Linked DNA regions of Astyanax mexicanus. The protein of the gene in region 2 binds, or shares a complex with, the protein of the main gene of each other region. Links are inferred from orthologs where the notes say so. Each region holds a gene or a part of one and is shown on either strand. Other genes may lie near its edges. The genes, in order: tpt1 and bcl2l1.

What was found.
Region 1: the proteins of bcl2l1 (region 2) and tpt1 are in contact, whole or in part, in a crystal structure (PDB 4Z9V), measured with the Homo sapiens proteins. The link is inferred for Astyanax mexicanus from reciprocal best matches to the Homo sapiens genes BCL2L1 and TPT1. Residues at the interface, in NP_001304848.1 of Homo sapiens: Ala93, Glu96, Phe97, Arg100, Tyr101, Ala104, Phe105, Leu108, Gln111, Ser122, Gln125, Val126, Glu129, Leu130, Asp133, Asn136, Gly138, Arg139, Val141, Ala142, Phe146, Leu194, Tyr195, Ala199, Ala200, Ser203; in NP_003286.1 of Homo sapiens: Phe14, Asp16, Ile17, Lys19, Ile20, Arg21, Ile23, Ala24, Asp25, Gly26, Leu27, Cys28, Leu29.

The regions. Positions count from the first base shown.
Region 1 is NC_064428.1:30,642,471-30,651,946, reverse strand, and holds the start of tpt1 (translationally-controlled tumor protein homolog), read left to right. Parts: upstream 1-5,767; 5' UTR 5,768-5,881; coding exon 5,882-5,909; intron 5,910-6,701; coding exon 6,702-6,775; intron 6,776-9,476. UniProt on the Homo sapiens protein: Involved in calcium binding and microtubule stabilization. Acts as a negative regulator of TSC22D1-mediated apoptosis, via interaction with and destabilization of TSC22D1 protein.
Region 2 is NC_064420.1:34,067,447-34,076,751, forward strand, and holds the start of bcl2l1 (bcl-2-like protein 1), read right to left. Parts: upstream 4,371-9,305; 5' UTR 4,186-4,370; intron 2,955-4,185; exon of another isoform or gene 2,803-2,954; intron 2,192-2,802; exon of another isoform or gene 2,015-2,191; intron 246-2,014; 5' UTR 17-245; coding exon 1-16. Other genes in the region: arfgef2 (brefeldin A-inhibited guanine nucleotide-exchange protein 2), read right to left, coding at 8,015-8,179. UniProt on the Homo sapiens protein: Potent inhibitor of cell death. Inhibits activation of caspases. Appears to regulate cell death by blocking the voltage-dependent anion channel (VDAC) by binding to it and preventing the release of the caspase activator, CYC1, from the mitochondrial membrane.

The DNA.
Region 1 (9,476 bases), on a different chromosome or scaffold from region 2:
TCATAGTGGCTGCGCTTTAGACCACTGGCTCACTCGGAGACAATTCACCCTACTTTTACAAGCATATCGTGGATGTTGTGATGATTAAATGCATATTTAATTACAGAGAGCGTAATTAGTCCTTTTTAATTAGAAGTTTGGAGCACATTTTGAATAGATATTGTGAAATTAATAACTAATTTTATCTGTAGAAGGCGTTATTAAGATGATCATTTCAGTGGTTCAGATTTTTGCTCTAAACTCAGAACCACTGATCTAAATATGCAGATATTTATAATATTGGTCATGTCTGATGGTGATTCCTTCAAGTTACTTTCTGGAAAGAACCAAATACACATACATTAGATTATCATAATATAAAAAATAACAGTGAGCGTAATGAATGTCTTTAAGAGTACTGGGCCTTACTGGTGCAGAGAAAATTGCCAGTGTTAAAACAAACGCTATTAGTGTTAAATTAGCATCCACAGTGTTAATTTAACACAGTTTATGGGGCAGTTTTACCCACACAGGGATTAATCCTAGTCTTGGACTACACAACATGTTTGATAGAGATTTTCCACTGAAAGCAAACATAGTCTAATACTAGTCTTAATCCTTGCCACGGAAACTGACCCTGATGATTTACTATAAGAGAAAGCTGAGGTTACGGGCACATGTCTGAGTAATCAGCACCTCCCCACCCTACTGTGCTTTCTTAGGGGTTTTAGTAAAAGTGCCCTCAGAACAAAACGCCTCGTCATCAGAAAGCACCAGCACCCTGCAGTGCCCCGCTACCTTTCCAGCTTCTGTAGAATAATCTGGAATACATTTATACCCTCCTTTTTTTGATGTCTAGACTACACAATGCTACACACTGAAGCCCACCAGCAGAACAGCTCACTATGAAGCTCTACCACTTTAACTCAACACTTATTCACTGTCTAATAAACACAACAACAATAAAAATACGAAAACTACCATCTACAATAATTTTATATAATATTAAAATTACAATATGAAATCAAAAACTTTAAAATCAAAAACTAAAACACTTAAAAAGCAATGGCCAACAATAAGCACCAGTACATTTAAATTAATTAAAATATTTATAATTATAGAAATAATAGGAATAATAATATAAAAATGAAGGGACAAAATAATTTAGAATATATATATAAATATTAACAATAATGATAGCAGTAATAAAAATAACAGAAATAACAGAAATAATACAAAAAATGAGTGATGGAAAACTAACTTCTACTTCTAATAATACTAATAAAAAATAATATAAAAAAATACTACTACTAGAACTAATAATAATGATAGGTATAGGCAAAGAAATATAAAAAACATTGGAATCTATGACTAATACAACTAATAATAAATAACAATGATAATAACAATAAAAATCGAATAGGGATAAACTTGGAAAAACAAAATCCTAAGCTTAAAAACTTTAAATTTAAATTTAAAAGGTTAAATACTTTGACTAATAATAACAATATAGAAATATTTTAAAAATTGAGGGGGGGGGAAAGTAACTAACAAACCCAACAATTTTAAAACATTGATTACTCCTTTTACTACTACTTTTAATAATAATAATAATAAGAAGAAGAAGAAGAAGAAGAAGAAGAAGGAGAAGAAGAAGAAGGACAGCTATAACTGGTAACAGCTATAACATTTTCTTTTGGTTATTATTTTTTGGGTGAATCACAGTCATTTACTAAAGATAGAAGAGAAATCACTGCTTTTGGCTGGGTGTAAATACAGCAGCTCAGTGTAACGGTAGCTTTTAAAACCACCACTGTTTAACCTCAAGTCTCCAGCACTGCCAGGAACTCAGCTCTGAGTGGTCTGCTGAGGGCACACTGTGAGGGCGCTGTGTGGAAATGCCACAGGGCAGCCACACGCCCTTCACAGAGCTTATATAAAGAGCAGGTCTGGCTTTGTACCAGCCGCTTCCCAGTGGGAAATGAAACAGCTGGCTTTAGTTCTCTGTGTCACAGCCAGGGTAAACCACAGAACCCTCAGGAGAAGCGGGATCACAAGCTAGCAAATCATCCTCTGTTTAAAAAATGTGGGGCATGAATCTGTTTCCCTCCGCTGCTAAAAATTCACTCGCTGGTCTGCTTTGGGGTCTCGGACGAAAGACCCTCTCTGACCGCTGCTGGGCTTACTGGAACAGAATGACTACTGGAAAAAGGCATGGGGCTGCGCAATGAGAACAGTTACCATACTTCAAAGTTAGCTTTATGGCTGGTAATAACCTTTCAACACTGCACTGCACCCCAATTACAAGTGCATACTCTCACTGTCGGAGAAAAACTTTGTAGTTTACAAGAGAAGGAAAAACCTATTTAACGTTCAGCTTTTTAGTCCATGTAGCTTCATCATCAAAGCATAGTTACACCCAGAAGGAAGTGCCACATTGCAGTTATATTGAAAAGATAAAGATAAAAGATCCCAGGAACATTAAATTATTTAAAAAAATGACTGATATGGGTAATATCATATTTATTTAGTCACACATTTAGTAACACAAGACACCGGATATCTCGGCATTATAGAGATGCAGAAGTTTATAATGCTGTCTTGCAATACTCCATCTATTCTATGCATTTCAAATATTCTTACACAGTTCCTGCTAATTTTGCAGTAGAAGTGTTGAGAGTGCATCCAATAGATAGAACATCCCACACATTGTCAATCAGGGATAGGTCTGTCGATGCGGCTAGGCATGGCATAGTATCTTCAAGAGCCTTTGAGGCAGGCTTTTGCCACCCACAGTAAAGTGTATAATTGAGGGAAAAGTAAAGCATATTACTGTATTTCCCATGACTTTTTCATGTCCCAATTTTAAGCTAAGGAACACTACACTGATCTGTATGATATGCATATAAGGTTTGGTGGACTAAAATGGTTGTGATTTTTATTTGTCTGTTCGGATGAACAATTCTAGACAGACTACGCTGCCCACTGTGGGTGGTAATGCCTTTTATGTACATTATACACGCCTACAAAACTATTCTAATGAATTTACAATGCCTTGCCACAACCACGCTGACCAGTGGACAGCCTCATCTCATGATATTTGGCATGTCAATTCTTTTTGTGGTTTCTGTCTAGTTAACATTTACAACATCGTATAAAATGACCTTTTATTGTGACTAAAAGCAGCATCAACCATTTAAAATAATTTTTTAAAAAGCTATATTAGATATGTAAGACAGGGTAAACCAGTTTTATGCAGGATTTAATTTGTGATATTAATACATTATAGTATTAATCAACTACAGACTTTTTGTAGGGCACAATTTGTTGGGTCACTATGCTAAAAAAGTACATTAACATGTAACTTCGAGGCTTAAGAAAGAAAAGCAGAACTAAACAGAGGCTATAAGACTAAATTAACTCTAAAAAGGCAGTTAGCTACAATTATTATTATTATTATTATTATTATTATTATTATTATTATTATTATTATTATTATTATTACTAATCACTGATGCTAAACCTGATCTCAGTTACTGCTGTTTTCCACTTTTGACAATCAATGAAAATATTTGCAATGAATTAACCAACATAAAAATGCTCCAATTTGTCTTATGGAATGAAATACACAATTTTACCTTCCATTGAAAGTTTTAAAAGTTTTGGCTTATCCTGTAAAAAGTTGCTGTTTTGGAGATAGGACATGCATACTCCAGTTAAACGTGTTACAGTTACAATGGTGTAAAAATGGTGTTAGATTTGTATCATAATACTCACCTTTCAAGAAAGTTTTCATAAAAGGACTTCATCTCAGCTGGTGCAAATTTGCAGTGAAGCTGGTCAACACGCACACCCACAGACACACACTCACAGACACATACTCACACACACACTGAAGGCTTAAGCTCTGTGAGAGGAACAAATATCCTCCCACTTGAAGGAAGCAAGTGGGGCCAGTCCATTCGTGACCAGCCTACTAAATACTGATCTCACACTGCTGCTCCTCTACCACCAACATACTGAGGAGAAAGAGCATGGGGACACCTACTGGTGGTTCATCTGACTGTCTGAAGACTACCGTACTGGGATTTTTATACTTTTTCTGTGAATCACAGTGGTTTACTGTAGATAGAAGATAAATCACTGCTTTTGGCTGGGTATAAATACAGCAGCTCAGTGTCTTAAGGACAGTAGCAAAAGCAGCAAAAGATGTGTGTTTATCGAAAATGTGTTTTGATGTTTTTCACAAAAAATGAGCCAATGCCAATGAGTTTGAGTTAGAAAAAAAATGTTTTGTATCATTTGATGAAAAATGAAAACGGGTCCCACAGACCCGAACACCACACAAAGGTTAAACATCACTAAGTGCAATGCAAAGCATCAGTCCCTGGATTCTAGAGCAGTGGCCCTTTCCTGTTTTAACATGATTGTACACCAGGTCACTAATGTTCACATTACCAGGTCGAAGTGACTCAAATATTTTTTTTCAATCAGATTTGAGTCACTTTCATATGTGGTCCTAAATCAGATATGTATCCGATCCATGGACGTGCAACATGAATGTGAACAGTCAAATCAGAATTTCTGCATGCGCTACATGCTTCTCTCTCGTACCCACACACCTCTTGGTGCAGCTGTGCAGCTATAGCTGCAAAAACAGCAAAAGCAAACCGCCTGGTCTTTTTGCACCTCCTCGACCTGAGCATGAACTTCAGACCAGCTGTTTACTCTCCACTTCAGCAAAAGATGCTCTACATATGAGCTGCTAACTCATCCATTTCACCTTTATAAAGTTACGAGTCTCACAAGTATGATGTTTTTTGTTTTGTTGGTGAAGCAGGAGACGTTTATACATGTATCAGTGTGCACATGTGAGGCGTTTCAGGGACAGATTCGTTCACATTACACACAGATACAGTCCACTTACATTTGTGAATATAAACCCTCACGATAGCCAAATCCGATCTGAACAAAAAAACGGATGTGAGCAATGTGGCTTGTAATGTGAACGGAGCCTAAGAAAGGATCACAGAGAGATGGGTGAGCAAGTTTGGTGTGGAAGAACTTCACTGGCCTCAACCAGTTTCGGATGAATTAGTTTGAAGACTGCGAGCCAAACCTTCTCCTCCAACATAGTTTATGTGGGCCTAATTAATAAGCACATTGGCAAGCAATGTGAAGTGAAGACGTTCAAGGGAGCAGTCAGCATTTCATTGACCAATGTTATTACCATACAAATTAATTGATTCATATGTATATATATTAAATATAAATATAAATGTAACCTAGCCTGTCTGGTACTTTGACATGTTAGACATTTCTAACAACTTTTATCTTACAAAAAATGCTTAATTGCTAATAATACTTGTTTTGATTCCTAGACATTTGATCTCAGGACAGTATCCAAAAAGTACCTCCGATAGAAAGGTTCAATTTTAACCTTAAAATTCAACCTTAAAAATAACTTTTGTGGTAAATTCCTCTCTAAATTTTAAAAGTGGCTTCTTTAGAAAGTCTAACTGAGCATGTGCACAGTGAGTGTAAATACTCTAGCTTGTTTCTAAACGGAGAAAATCAAGGTGTCACATCTGTCCCTGGTCTATCCTACCACACAGTGTAGAAATGTTGCTTTAATTCACAGTATTACAGTATTTATTTATTAATCAGAGGAGAGTTTGTACTCGAGTGCACAGACTGTACTGTGCTGTACTGAGAGGGCGAGGGCGCTGATTGGCCGCGGGCCGCTTGAGGTCGCTCGTGCGCTTTACAAAAAGGAGCTGAGCGCGCATTGACGTCATCTGTTCTGGCAGTGTCTAGAGCTGATCTCGGTCTCTCGGCCTTTCCAGCTGAGTCCGCCGCCAGCGCAGCGCCTGCTCCGAGCCCTCCAACACAATCCATCAAAATGATCATCTACAAGGACATCATCACCGGTGAGAAAGCGCTTATACAGAGTGTAAAGGCTTTAAACTCGTGGATTTGGAGGGTATTTTTGGGTGTCCGGCTCGTTTTTGTGGCTTTTTTGTAGGTTTTTGTGGCGCTGGCGAAAAGAGGCCTAAGTTTTTAGCGCCAGGTTAGCGCAGTGCGGCTAACAGAAGTTAGCTGGAGTTGTGTTTTATTGTATATAGTGTCGTTTTAGTGGGGATTTAATGTGGGGTTTATGTGTTTAAGGCTTTAAAACGGGTTTAGTGGTTGGTATTTTGGTGTTAGGAGTGAGAAATGGGTGAAAAATTGGTTATTTGAGTAAAACGCCGGTTTGTTAACGTTAGCTAGTTAGCCTAGCTAAATTTCAGCTAGCTACCACACCGGCAGATTTTCACCATGTAAAAGTTAAGCAGGCTAACTAGCTAGCTAGTTTAACTTGTGTGGCGCCAATTAGCGAGATGCCACGTACACATTTGTTTTTAAATACCTTTTAACAGTCTGAATCTCTTATTTTCTGCTTTTTCAGTCCATTTAAACTGTGTAATAAATCAGCATATGCTAGCTAGCTATTTAACTAACTCATGAGCTCAGGCCGGCCTGTGCCTGTTGTTAAGGCGGTCTGCTGCTGCTTTTGTCCAGGCCTGAGATCTTTAAAAAGTCAGCTGACCCGAAATGCAGCACCGCCTCAGCCACTGCGCTTCGGGATTCACCAGAGTAATACATATTTAAAGAGAATGTCCTCGAAATCAACTCGTTTTTAATCCCATCTTTACTAAATGTATGTGTACGTTGTTTCACAGGAGACGAGATGTTCTCGGACATCTACAAAATCAAAGAGTCTGAGAATGGAATGATGATCGAAGTCGAGGGAAAGGTAAGACACCTCTATTAGCCTGTGTATTTGATTTATATAAAATTTAAAGAGGAAAATAAAGATATTTATGTACTTAATAGGTAGTTAAGGAACTGTTGGCTGCTTGGTTTTTGGGTTTCTTTGTGAGACGTTGCGCAATCCTATGACTAATTTGTGGTATCCGCCCTCCCTCCCCCTCTCTTTCCCTCCTCCACCCACAGTACACCGGTATGAGTCCGTTACACGCTGTCCAAAAGTTTCTAAGCTTCCTGATGCTAGATTTATTTTCGTTCTACAGTCAATACTTAGACACACACTAACATGGATTTCTAGACTGATGTTGAATGGATTCTGTACAACATATTTTCTGATTGGTCAAGCGATCCAATGTAAAGTTTGTATCCAAAACTTTAGTTTCATGTCTTCTATATATATTTAGATATACACTAATACACCCATTTTTGCAATTTTGAATAGATATTTCTTTGTTAAACTTTAAAGCTTAAAATAATTTTTTAAAATAGCATATCCAGTGTTTTTCATCATATAATATATATATATGCCAGCTAGTATCGATTTAAAATGTTGACCACGTCGGCCAATACCAGTATAATTCCAATCAAAACGCATACCGACCTCATAGTTGAGTACCTGTTTTTTTTTTTGCTTCTGTGAGAAACCTTGAACAACCTTATGGCTGATTTCTTTCCCCCCACCCACAGTACACCAGTATGAGCTCATTACTTTTTGTACCTGATCAGATTCTGAAGCTCCTTCTGAAGTAGTTGCTATATATTTAGATATATGCTAATGTAGATTAGTTTTGTTTTAAAGTGTATCGTTTCTCAAGTCTTTAGAAAGTATACAAAGGTGGAGGACATCTACCAGGCGGTTGTAGAGATGTGACCTAGGGAATGCGATGAATGTTCGTCCCAAGAAGTCCATTCCTGAAAGGGGCCTGGCACAAACAAACTAATATGCTGTGTACTTATTTGATTTTTTTTTTTAATCATATTAAATTATAGTTGTAGTGGCTTTTCACTACGTTTTTAAAGCAGGAACTGGAAAGACCGTTGTAAGATTTGAGAGATGGTGATTTATAATAATTTGGGGCAGAACAGTATATTGTGATTTTTGTCTGTTAAATTCAAAGTGAATGCTGGGTATTTCTGTTCGATTTTCTCTGTAAATTGGACTGTTCTCAGTTTCCGAATCTGTGAACTTCAGTGGTTTTCTTTAAATATGTTCAGTATTTTTTTGCAGTTAGGGTAGCACAGGATGTCTGGCAAGAATGTGAGGATGCTAAATTGCACAAGAATGCATATTGAGAAACAGCCTAGGTGTGAGGTTTCATTAAACATCCTAATTGTTCAGACGCTTACTCTAATGCTTTTAGCTACTTTCAAGTTTCTCACATTGCTGACAGATGTGGGAATGTGCACACACAGCTTGTCTGTATAGAAGTATTTCCAATAGGACGGGACTCTGGCACTGTGCCTAATTCCAGGCATGAGCTAGAGGGGTAGAACCCCCACAGCATTGAGCTTTGGCACAGCAAATCTGATCTCTGGAGTGATTGATGGTGCTTTTATACAACACTTTTGGATGAGTCCAGTTTGGGTGGGGTGGTGATTAACATCCTGATCAACAATGCAGTCAGTCAAACACACAATGAAAACTTTAGTGTATATTACATTGCATTTATATGGTCTGTACTATTTAAGTTAGAAGTATAGTAAAAAGTAAACTCTTGTTCAAGCTCTGAAACAAGCTCTGCCCAGTCATTTGTCTTGTGTTGCCAATATGCTGTTTATGGGGTTACTGCAGGAGTGTGATGTTCTAGACATTGTAATTAGTGCATTCAGCTACTTTTAAGTTCCACCTATTGCTGACAAGGATGTAGAAATGTGCATTCTGCTTGTCTAGTCCCTGTAGAGAGGTATTGCCAGTAGAACAGGACTCTGAAGGATGTGAGCTAAAATCCATTGGGACAATGCCTAATGCCAGGTGTGAGCTGGGTGGGGATATATAGTCCCCTGATCCAATTTTAGACTTGCAGTACTAAATTACTGCTTTGTACTACATGTTTCACAGCCAACTTCAGTTTACATTTTCTCATTGGTTGAGAATTGAGCGTGGAGAGTGTAGAGTTGTTGGATCTTAGCCTGCAGCTACACTGATAAGTTAATGAATATCATTCTCAACAAGCCTGAGCATACCTGATTCCACGTGCTGTAATTAGTTGGACTTTTAAGGACTCCTCAGTCAGTTGATCTTGTGACTTGGGGGGCTTCCTGCCGCCTTGCTTGTATTACTTTCAATGCTCTTAACACATCAGCTTATCAACAAGCCTTTTCAGGAGTGCAGGGGTGTGTTAAAGCAGAGAATATTTTGAAAATGTCAAGGACAGGGAGGGATTGAGCAACACTAGTCTGACTGAAGCCCTTTTAGAACGATTTCTGAAAACTTGCTGGTATTTGGCCTCCAGGACCAGGGCTGATAAATGTTGCATTGGACAAGCCCATAGGCATGCCTATTAATGCTGCTTTGCTACAGTAATACCCCCACCACACAACTCTTGTTGTGAAGGCTTTATGCCAGATATATTGCTGGGAAGGAAGATTTGATTTCATAATCTTCACATACCACATTTTGAGTACCTCTGGTCTAGAGGAATGCAAAGACCTGGTATGCGAGACCACGCCCCAAGTCTTCACTTTTT
Region 2 (9,305 bases):
GGTTATAGTACGACATAACTGAGTCCTGCTCAATGCTCGTGCCGGGATCCCACTCTCCACTCACTCGTCACCCACCGTCTGCGGAACGGCGCGCGGACCCTCCTTGTCCCTTCTCAGGCGTGTTCCGATGCTGACGCTTTCATCACGGATCTTAAATCAGGCTGATCTCTGATCTTCATTGATTTCTTCTGCTTGTTATCCAGCATAAGCAAACACAATCAAGGAATGGCGCAACGGCTCACGAGCTGTGGTTAGAGAAGAGCAAGATGAAGAAACGATTAGTGAGGGCTCACAAACACACACGCACACAGTTTCCAGTAACACAAGCTAACACTGCTAAACCCCTCTTACTTAATTGGGTATCTCGCACAAAGCAGCAGATGGTAGCCTCTCCTCACCTGCCTCTGAGGAAGAATAGAGAGAATAGCTCCCCTTTCCCCTTTCCTAAAGCTTCAGGAGAGCAAAGCAAATCTACACTGACCTTGACACAGGTGAATTTGAGCAGCAGGGGGTATGAATAGACAGCGTGGTTTGAATTATGATTTTCTTGTTTGATCCAAGCTGCATAGAGGAGATGAGAGCTTCAGCGGACGAAACTCAAACAATAGAACATAGGACAAATCATCCTCTAAACCTTTTTTTTGCCTATTACTAGGCATATTTGAGTACATTTACGTAATACTTCAAAGCAAAGTTCGGCAAAAACCTTGAATCTCTAGAATGTCAACTATGCTGGAGAAGGAAAGACTCTTCTGTTTCACTTTTATTGGAAGTCAATTTAAAAGATTTCATTTTAATGATTAATTTTGGAGAATTTCTATTGGTCTGTTTAATGGTTCTGATTTGCATGCTTAAAATATGGATTTTTTTACGTTCAGCTTGTCACAATAATTATATTATCAACTTATCATGCAGTACTTTGTCGATTTTGCTGACATAAATATTGTATAGTGAGTATTAAAAGCATTTTATTATATGTATCTGTTTTACTTATTTAAAATATTAACATGTTTAAAATTTTAATTCTACATCTGAGCATTTTAATAACTAAAATTTCACTGCTATTTAAAAAAGGAATGCACAATGACATTGGAATTATATAGGTATTGGCTAATAATTTCTTTGATAATAATATATAATTGCATCATCTGATATGGCAAATATTTCAAACAAATATTTGCTGATGTATTTATTGTATGCTGGAAAAGGATCAGGCGGCACAGGCTTTGCTACTGTAAAATCCATTGAGTTAAGCTCATTTTTAGTTTTTTTTTCTATTTTTTTTTCTGCAATCTCCTGTTCATAGTGGCAGCACTTAGCCTGCTGGACAACACGGAACCCCCATTTTTAGTCATTTTTATTAGTGTTAAAGTTACAGCAGGGTGTGTAGTTTCTCTGAAAGTTATGAATGTGTACATCAACAATGGCAGATATGTACATGTGTAATATCGGATATCAGCATCATTTCAAAATTTCCACATCAGTACATCCCTATTCTAAAAGTATAAATAAATTATTATGCTTTTGTATTATCATTATATTAGTGATATTAATGAAAATAGTAATTAAAAAGATAAAAAGTTAGCACAATTTAATTGGGACAATATCATCCTAATAATATGTTTTTTTTATTATTGTGACAGGCCTTATGTACAGCTTTATAAACTGGTTCTTTATACATGACAATTTAAAAAACAACAAAATATTAAAGTTTAATGGTGCCTTTCTCTGAGATCATAAAAAGACAACTCTTGTAACGACTGTTGTCTTTTAAATAACATAGTCAAGTCAAGGAGCATCGTTTTCTTTTATGTTTAATATTTAAAGCTTTTTACTTAAATATACAAATAAACAGTACACAGCCAAGCTCTCCATTCTGTTTGTTCACTGTGTCTCAGTTGAAAACGATGGCGACACTCTGAGGGTGTAAATCATCACAGAAGACGACACTAGTAAAATATGTGTTCTGATGAAATATGTAGCAGTAAGATTTAGTGATAAACATTCTACATACCCTCAGCCGCGATTCACGGATATAACGTTACAGAATCCTACCAAACAAAGATACGGATTTTGCGTAAAACAATCTGCGTTCAGTTGGGGCACGGGAGGCAAAAACACGTGGTCGCCACACCAACAGAGCAGAGAGATAAAAGCACGAGGCGCTGAATTTAGTCATCTTCACAGAGACAGAACAGATCAGCACATAAACAACTACTGGAAGACACAGCTAATCCAGTATTACCGTAAACGTGGTCACAATAAGAACAACAACAAGAAGGTCTGTTAATAGATATATTTGTAATTAACTAACCTACATGAGGCGTAGATAACAATAGCTTATAATAACGTATTTGCTACAGACTCACTTTTCTAATGTTGAGAATCTGTAGTTAAGCAAGTTGTATACAGTTAGCTAATAGCTAATGTCACAAAGCTGACACAACATCTGTGTCGCTTTTGAAATTTTTATGTACACGAAACTCAGTAGGAATGCGTGCCCGCAAGGCTAGTCCTGCCACCGGAGCAGTTTCGTGTGACACCCAAAGCATCTGGACTATCTTAAAGAAATCTAAAGAACTATGTCCCCACCTAGCTTAGCTTATAGATCCGAGGCAGTCACGGGGAACGCCTGTCGTTTAAAACTCGTGTCTAAGGTCTAAGACTAGTTATAAATTACCCTAAAACACTGCCCAATCAGAACATGTCAACTTTGGACATTGAACATCCGCTCATTCAGAACCAGCTACATAACAGGTAAGCTATATAACAGCTCGAACGTTTAAAGAACATCCTGCTTACCATACAGACATCTATCTGCCCAGTCCTCAGATAGATCTACACACCTAACAGCTCCCGTGGTCCCTGTACAGTACCCGAACTCTGTAATATAAAATATCCTCGTGCTTCAGCTGGTAAATAAATATAACTTACAGCACAAACGTGAAAACGTGAATAGACCAAGCCCCGCCCCCGCGCTTCTACTGGATTGCATAGAAGAGCCTTAGGCCCCGCCCACACGATAATTACGTAACAGGAGGAGCTTTCTAGCACTTCTACAAACCTCTCGAAATTACTGTGATTTTTATTTAACTATAATATATATTTTGTATTCATAAAGGAAACAACGGAAATCTTAAGAATATACCTACATCATCTACTCTTTAAATTGAGGTAGAACATATAATGAAAAAGTCTTAGAATGATTAATAATGGTTTATTTTATTATTACCATTATTATTATTCATTTTAATAACGTACATTTATGAATATCAATTTTCGTGTAAGCGTTTTCGTGTATGCTAAATACCATTATAGCATAGATGAGCTAAATAAATCCACCTCACAATAACGTCAGTGTGTATAGGTGAACGAAATCAATTGACCACCTTAAAAATACAGTAGCCAAGCTTACCTAGTTGGTTAAATAAACTAGAGTTAGCTACGTTATATTCTTTACAGAACAAAAATACTTGATAGCTATGTTAGCTAGTTAACGTTAAGGCTATATATATCCTTTGGCTACCACATAAGCTCAAAGAAAAAGTATTTGAAGGCAGCTGTCATAAAATCCAGAATGAAGCAGCTAAGCTAACCTAGCTAGGTGAACTATAGATGAACCAACTCCATGTTAAACTCTGAGCAAGCTAGCTAGCTAGGTATATAACTGACCTTACTACCCCAAAATGAACAGACTTAACGTTAAAACACCAGTGGTGGCTATTAAGCCTCCTTACATAGAGCTAGCCAGCTAACCTAGGTTAGCTATTACAATTGAATTGTACACTTAGCTAGCGTTAGCTAACTAACCCAACGCTAACCAATTTAAGGTTCAGATAAAAACATAAAAATAAATCCCCTAGCTTGCTACCCTGTTGCATTTCAATGTAGCTCAACCACATTCACAAAATAATGAAGCTAACAGCAATAAACCAGCTGAAGTAGTTACAAGAATCAAGGACGTTTTGAACCTAAGCTGGCTAACCAACTACGTCAATCACAGGCTAACACAACTAGCTAGCTATGTGGCTAACGCTAGCTAACACCAGGAGCTTTAATGGGAACGGGTTGGGCTTTTTTAGTAGATAGCGTTACAAGAACGACGTAATTCTGACTAGCAGAGAAAATATAACGCCAGCTACTGCAGTGAATAATTGCGCCACTGCAGCTCCTGCTGCGACTTACTCAGATAATTAAAAGGGTGAGCTCTCCGGCCCACACATGATCGAAATATCCAGCAGGTCTCCGGTCAGAGAGCGACTGTAAATCCGACATTTCTAGCCTTAGCACAGCAAACCACCACGGCTGAAGCCTCTGGAAGCGGCGCTAGTCCCCACTAGCTCTCCTTGCTCGCCCGCTTCAGAGAGAAGGCAGACAGCGCATGGGTTGCCAGATCCAACAAAAATATCCAGCCCAAAAACCTGCCCTTCAGAAGCTTAAACTAGCTAAACTAACGAACATGTCTGTCACACGTTTAAAGCGAATGACAAAACAATTATGAGTGTACGACGTAGTATTTTGTTTATAAGGGTTTTATTATCAGTATTGCTATTTTTCTTAGTCATTAATACTATTGTAACAAAAGAGTTTTATTTTAGTGTTTAATAGAACAGTTTTATATTCCAGTCAAGAACATTTAATAGTAACATAATAAGTAAAAAAACTGTCTTTTATTAACTCATTTCTGTTCTTGCCCCTCCTGAACTTTCTTCTCTTCTCTTTAACATAATATCTTGTGATTTCTGGTTTCATTGTGATTTCTCTCTCGCTCTCTTTCTCCTTTTTATGCTGTCTTTTATGTCGTTATATTCTCTTTGTTTTTAATGCTGTAATCATTCTAATTTATGTGTTTGGCGGCCGCGGTAATTTTTAAAAGTAGCCCAAAAAAACGCACCCCGCCACCCCTAATTTTTCCCCCGCGACTAGTATTCGATCGCGTGAAAACTTCACACCTGGCAACTCTGGACTGCTAGCTAGCTCCCCTTCACGCATGCGCCGAAGCTCCGCCCCCCCCCCTGTGAATTTTTCACGATACTGCAGATTCTGTAAACTATCGTTAGTGTTCACAGAAGATTGCTGTAATTTGTGTTTTGGTTTACTCCGCTAACGCACTTGTTTCTGCTTGTTAAAGTGGAGTGTGGCTGTCCTCTGACGTCCTAAACATGACAGGCATTTTATTATGCAGATTCTGGTCAGTTGTTGTGTTTTCCGGATGTATTTTTTGTGTCTGTGTCTGAATAAATCAGTTCACGCACATTAAAAACACTGAATACATGTATGTTTTAACATGGTAACCTATGGTAACCCCAAAACGATGTAAACTTGTACTGTGTTCACATCCGTGCTAAACCAGCGCGCCCCCAAGCGGCCTGTCCTGACATTAACACAACTCCATCCACAGATAGCAGATACAACTACTGTATATACAGCTCTAGAAAAAAATGAGAGACCACTTTAGTTTCTGAATCAGTTTCTCTGATTTTGCTATTTATAGATATATATTTGAGTAAAATGTTTTTTTTATTCTATAAACGACAGACAACATTTCTCCCAAATTCCAAATATAAATATTGTCATTTAGAGCATTTATTTGCAGTAAATGCAAAAAGGCTGAAATAACAAAAAAAAATGCAGCGCTTTTAGACTTTAAATAAAGTTTTAAGAGTTCAGAAATCAATATTTGGTGGAATAACCCTGGTTTTTAGTCACACTTTTAATGGATCTTGGCATGTTCTCCTCCACCAGTCTTACACACTGCTTTGGGTAACTTTATGCCACTCCTGGTGCAAAAATTCCAGCAGTTCAGCTTGGTTTGCTGGCTTGTGATCATGCATCTTCCTCCTGATTTTGGTAAAATCAAAGAAATTCATTTTTAATGGTCTCTTCCTTTTTTCAGAGCTTTAAGTGAAGATTAAAATCTGTATATGATTTCAGATCTACAATTCTGATTTTGACTAGTAAATAGTCTGTGTTAAAAAGTTTATTATAGATATTTGTACTTGGAGTTTTAATTGTAAAATTTAATTAAGAATATTGATAAGAGGCTTAAGGTACAATATGACTAGTCAAGAACAAACTCAAGATGTCATCATGATATGTCTAGTCAGATTGTCTTTATAGATCTGCAGATCTGATATTATTACTAGCAAAACATTTCAAAGCTAAATTCTGAAATGAGTTTCTACTAGTAAAAGCTACATTACAGAAAAGTGTACTTTGAGTTTTTACTATTACAATTGATTTACAGCTAAATAAAGACTTGTTGGTTTATTAATAGCAGTGAACAGTGAAATGTACAATCTGTGCAGACCCTTTTTTATTATTTATTGAATAATTCACCAAAAGCTTGGAAGATTACATCCCAATATGTGTAGAGCTTCTTTTATCCTTTATTTTACATGAAAACTTTACACTTTGTATTTCATCATACTGTATATATATATTTATATTTTCCTCACAGCGGAGGGAGGCAAGGTGGACATACAGAGTTGCGAGGGGAGGAATGCTTCCAGAAAATATTTTAAAAGCACTTCATAGAATTAAATACATCCGCATAAAAATGCACCCGGAGCTTTATGTGCTCTAGTAATACAGAGGCTTGATACTGTTAAGAGATTTGAGTACAAACATACACGTCTGCACTGTACAGTATATGTAGTTATTTTTGTATTTTTTCTTTTTCCTTTAGCTTGGTGTTGGTAGGGCAACACTGGCTGGAAGATTATGACACAAGCTAACAAATGAGACTCACTCATTCACACAGTCATCAAATGAGGGGGGAGCAGCTTAGGTGACAGACTTTTATGATGTGGAGAGAAAAAAAAAATCAGGAATGCTTAAAGACCCCAGCCTTTCTGTAACTGTCAATCCAGAGGCCGAGAAAATTGTGTACGCTTCACGCAGGAAAAATTAGTGTGTACTGCTGAGTGAGGGAGGAGGGGTCCTTGAGGGAATGTTAAATGAAACCAACAGAAGTGTTTTGGAGTGCAGCCATGTTACATCACCCCTGTTCCCAGGCCAACACAGGGGCAGCTACGTTTCACTGTAAGAGTGTTGAACTACAGACAGCTTCTGGTTCATAGACATGAACAAATCCAAGAGAATATGAAAGGCTATCACCTTATTCCAGACTCTTCCCGTTATTAATTTAAACATCTGATACTCACAACCCAAGGCTACTTGTTGTTCAGTATTCTGGTGTGTAAATGCGAGGTTGCTGAGCATATGCTTGTAATAAATAATGTATATATTTACCCAGTCATTAAAGCTCCAATAAGAAACTACCTAAATAGCTCAGGCACCCCAAGAACTCTTGCTTTGAATTAGTTTTCTTCATAAATGTCACAGGGCTGTTAAAGCAGGACCAAAAACCGTTCCACCACTTGCCAAGACTCCTGTTTGAGGCTTTAATGATAAGTCTCACTCTTTTATCTGCATAGGCACAGATAAGCAAACCTGCTATAAATTACACGCTTGTAATTGATTGATATGATATTTCAAATCTTGTAGCTCCGTGCATTTGGAAATCACTGTCTGTTTGCTTATTAAAATAAGGACAAAAATAATTCCAACATAAGACAAAAAAAAAACAATACAAACAAAACAAAACACAAATCAACTGACCAACAATCAGGAACAGGATACACAACAGTATTGTTAATAAATTATCATCATCATCATCATCATCATTGTTGTTGTTGCTGTATTGCCCCCCTCCCTTTTAGAATGTATGACTTTAATATGATTGCACTTGAGCCACAATGTCGAAGAGAGGAGAGCCCTGCTGGGTCACACAGTGCTGCTCTCTCTCCCGAGTGGGTGGTAGGGGGGGATTTAAGGGCTGAGGGGAAAAGGTCAGGAGATCCAGACACAGAGTATGACTTTGGGTGAGCAGTGTCAGCATCAGCTCCAAGCCCTCCTGCACGCTTCCTCGCACCGCTGAAGGTCCTCGCACGCTGCAGCTCTCCCGACCCCTCCATTCCATTTTCTGTAAAGACACAGGACCTACTGTGCTCTACGAGGCCGGCGCTCGTGCGGCCGCCATCTCGGGCGCGGCAATGTGGAAGACTGAACCTATGCGGAGAAAGAAGCGGCGCAGGACAGCTCGCAGCTCAGGGATGAGGTCAAACTGCATCATCTCACACAGATGGGGGTAGTAACAGGAGGCGTGCGGCTTAAACTGAGAGAAACAGAGAACAAGAGAGAAAAAGAGGATGTGTTCATGAGGGCTGTAATGACACATGATTAGTAGAAGTCACTGTCTGACTCCCTTAGCTATTATTATCCCATCAAACCATTACGGCTTCCTCTTACTTTGACATCATTCAAGTTCTGTTTATGCAGAGTGTCTGTGTGCTCTACAAAACCTTTTATAGGCCTCTGAGGTTCAGCGCCACTCTGTAGTCAGTAACATTCTGTAATATGGAACTTCCACACTTGACAGATATGATTGCTGTGAGGTAGCCAGTTTTGTAATGCGAGATAAAAAGGTGTTAAAAAAAAGCCCTAACTGGACAGGATTAGTTTCTCAGGGGGTCCTGGGGTAATTTTCTCTTTTATGGGGGGGGTCCTCTGTGATTATTTTCCCATCCGGAATGACCACGTACGTGTTTTTGTCAGACGTGCTCTAAAAAAATTACAGGCTGAATTATCTACTGTTTTTCACGAAACTCTGTGCTTCTTTAGTAATTTTAGTCCCGTCTGGACGCACATCTCTGAGTTTCATCACCTCACATTTAATAAAATAGCTATTTGTCCACTGCTATGCACTGTATTTACACTTTGGGCGTGCAATTCCACAGAGATCCACGTAAACACACCAGAGAAGTGGAAATGGTGGAGATACTGGACTCCCACATTTTGTGGTTGTGAACTGTACTTTCAATTTGTTGACAAAAGTTTTATCACTGAGTAGAAGTGTTAATTTCATTTAATTTAATTTAATATCATTCGATAGGGCTTAAGAAAACAAAAAAGTGCTATAGTACTGATTTTGCAAAACACAGTATTGGTTTTCAACTATTAGTTTACATGTAAAAAATGGCAGTAGTTAATTTAGAGAGCAGTACTCTGTGGTAAGATTGCCATGTTATTACTGCATAAAAGTAAACATTTTTTATTTATTCTGATTTTATAAAAATGTATGCGTTTTTTATACAATGACAGTTTTCATTCAATTGTTATATACTGCTGTATTGATATGACTGAGATATTTAATTGTAAGCCTTACATCATGATTGGTATCTTCTCTCCAAGTTCTTGCCAATTCACAGCTCTAGTGAGTTTGGTGTATAGGAGTGTTAGGA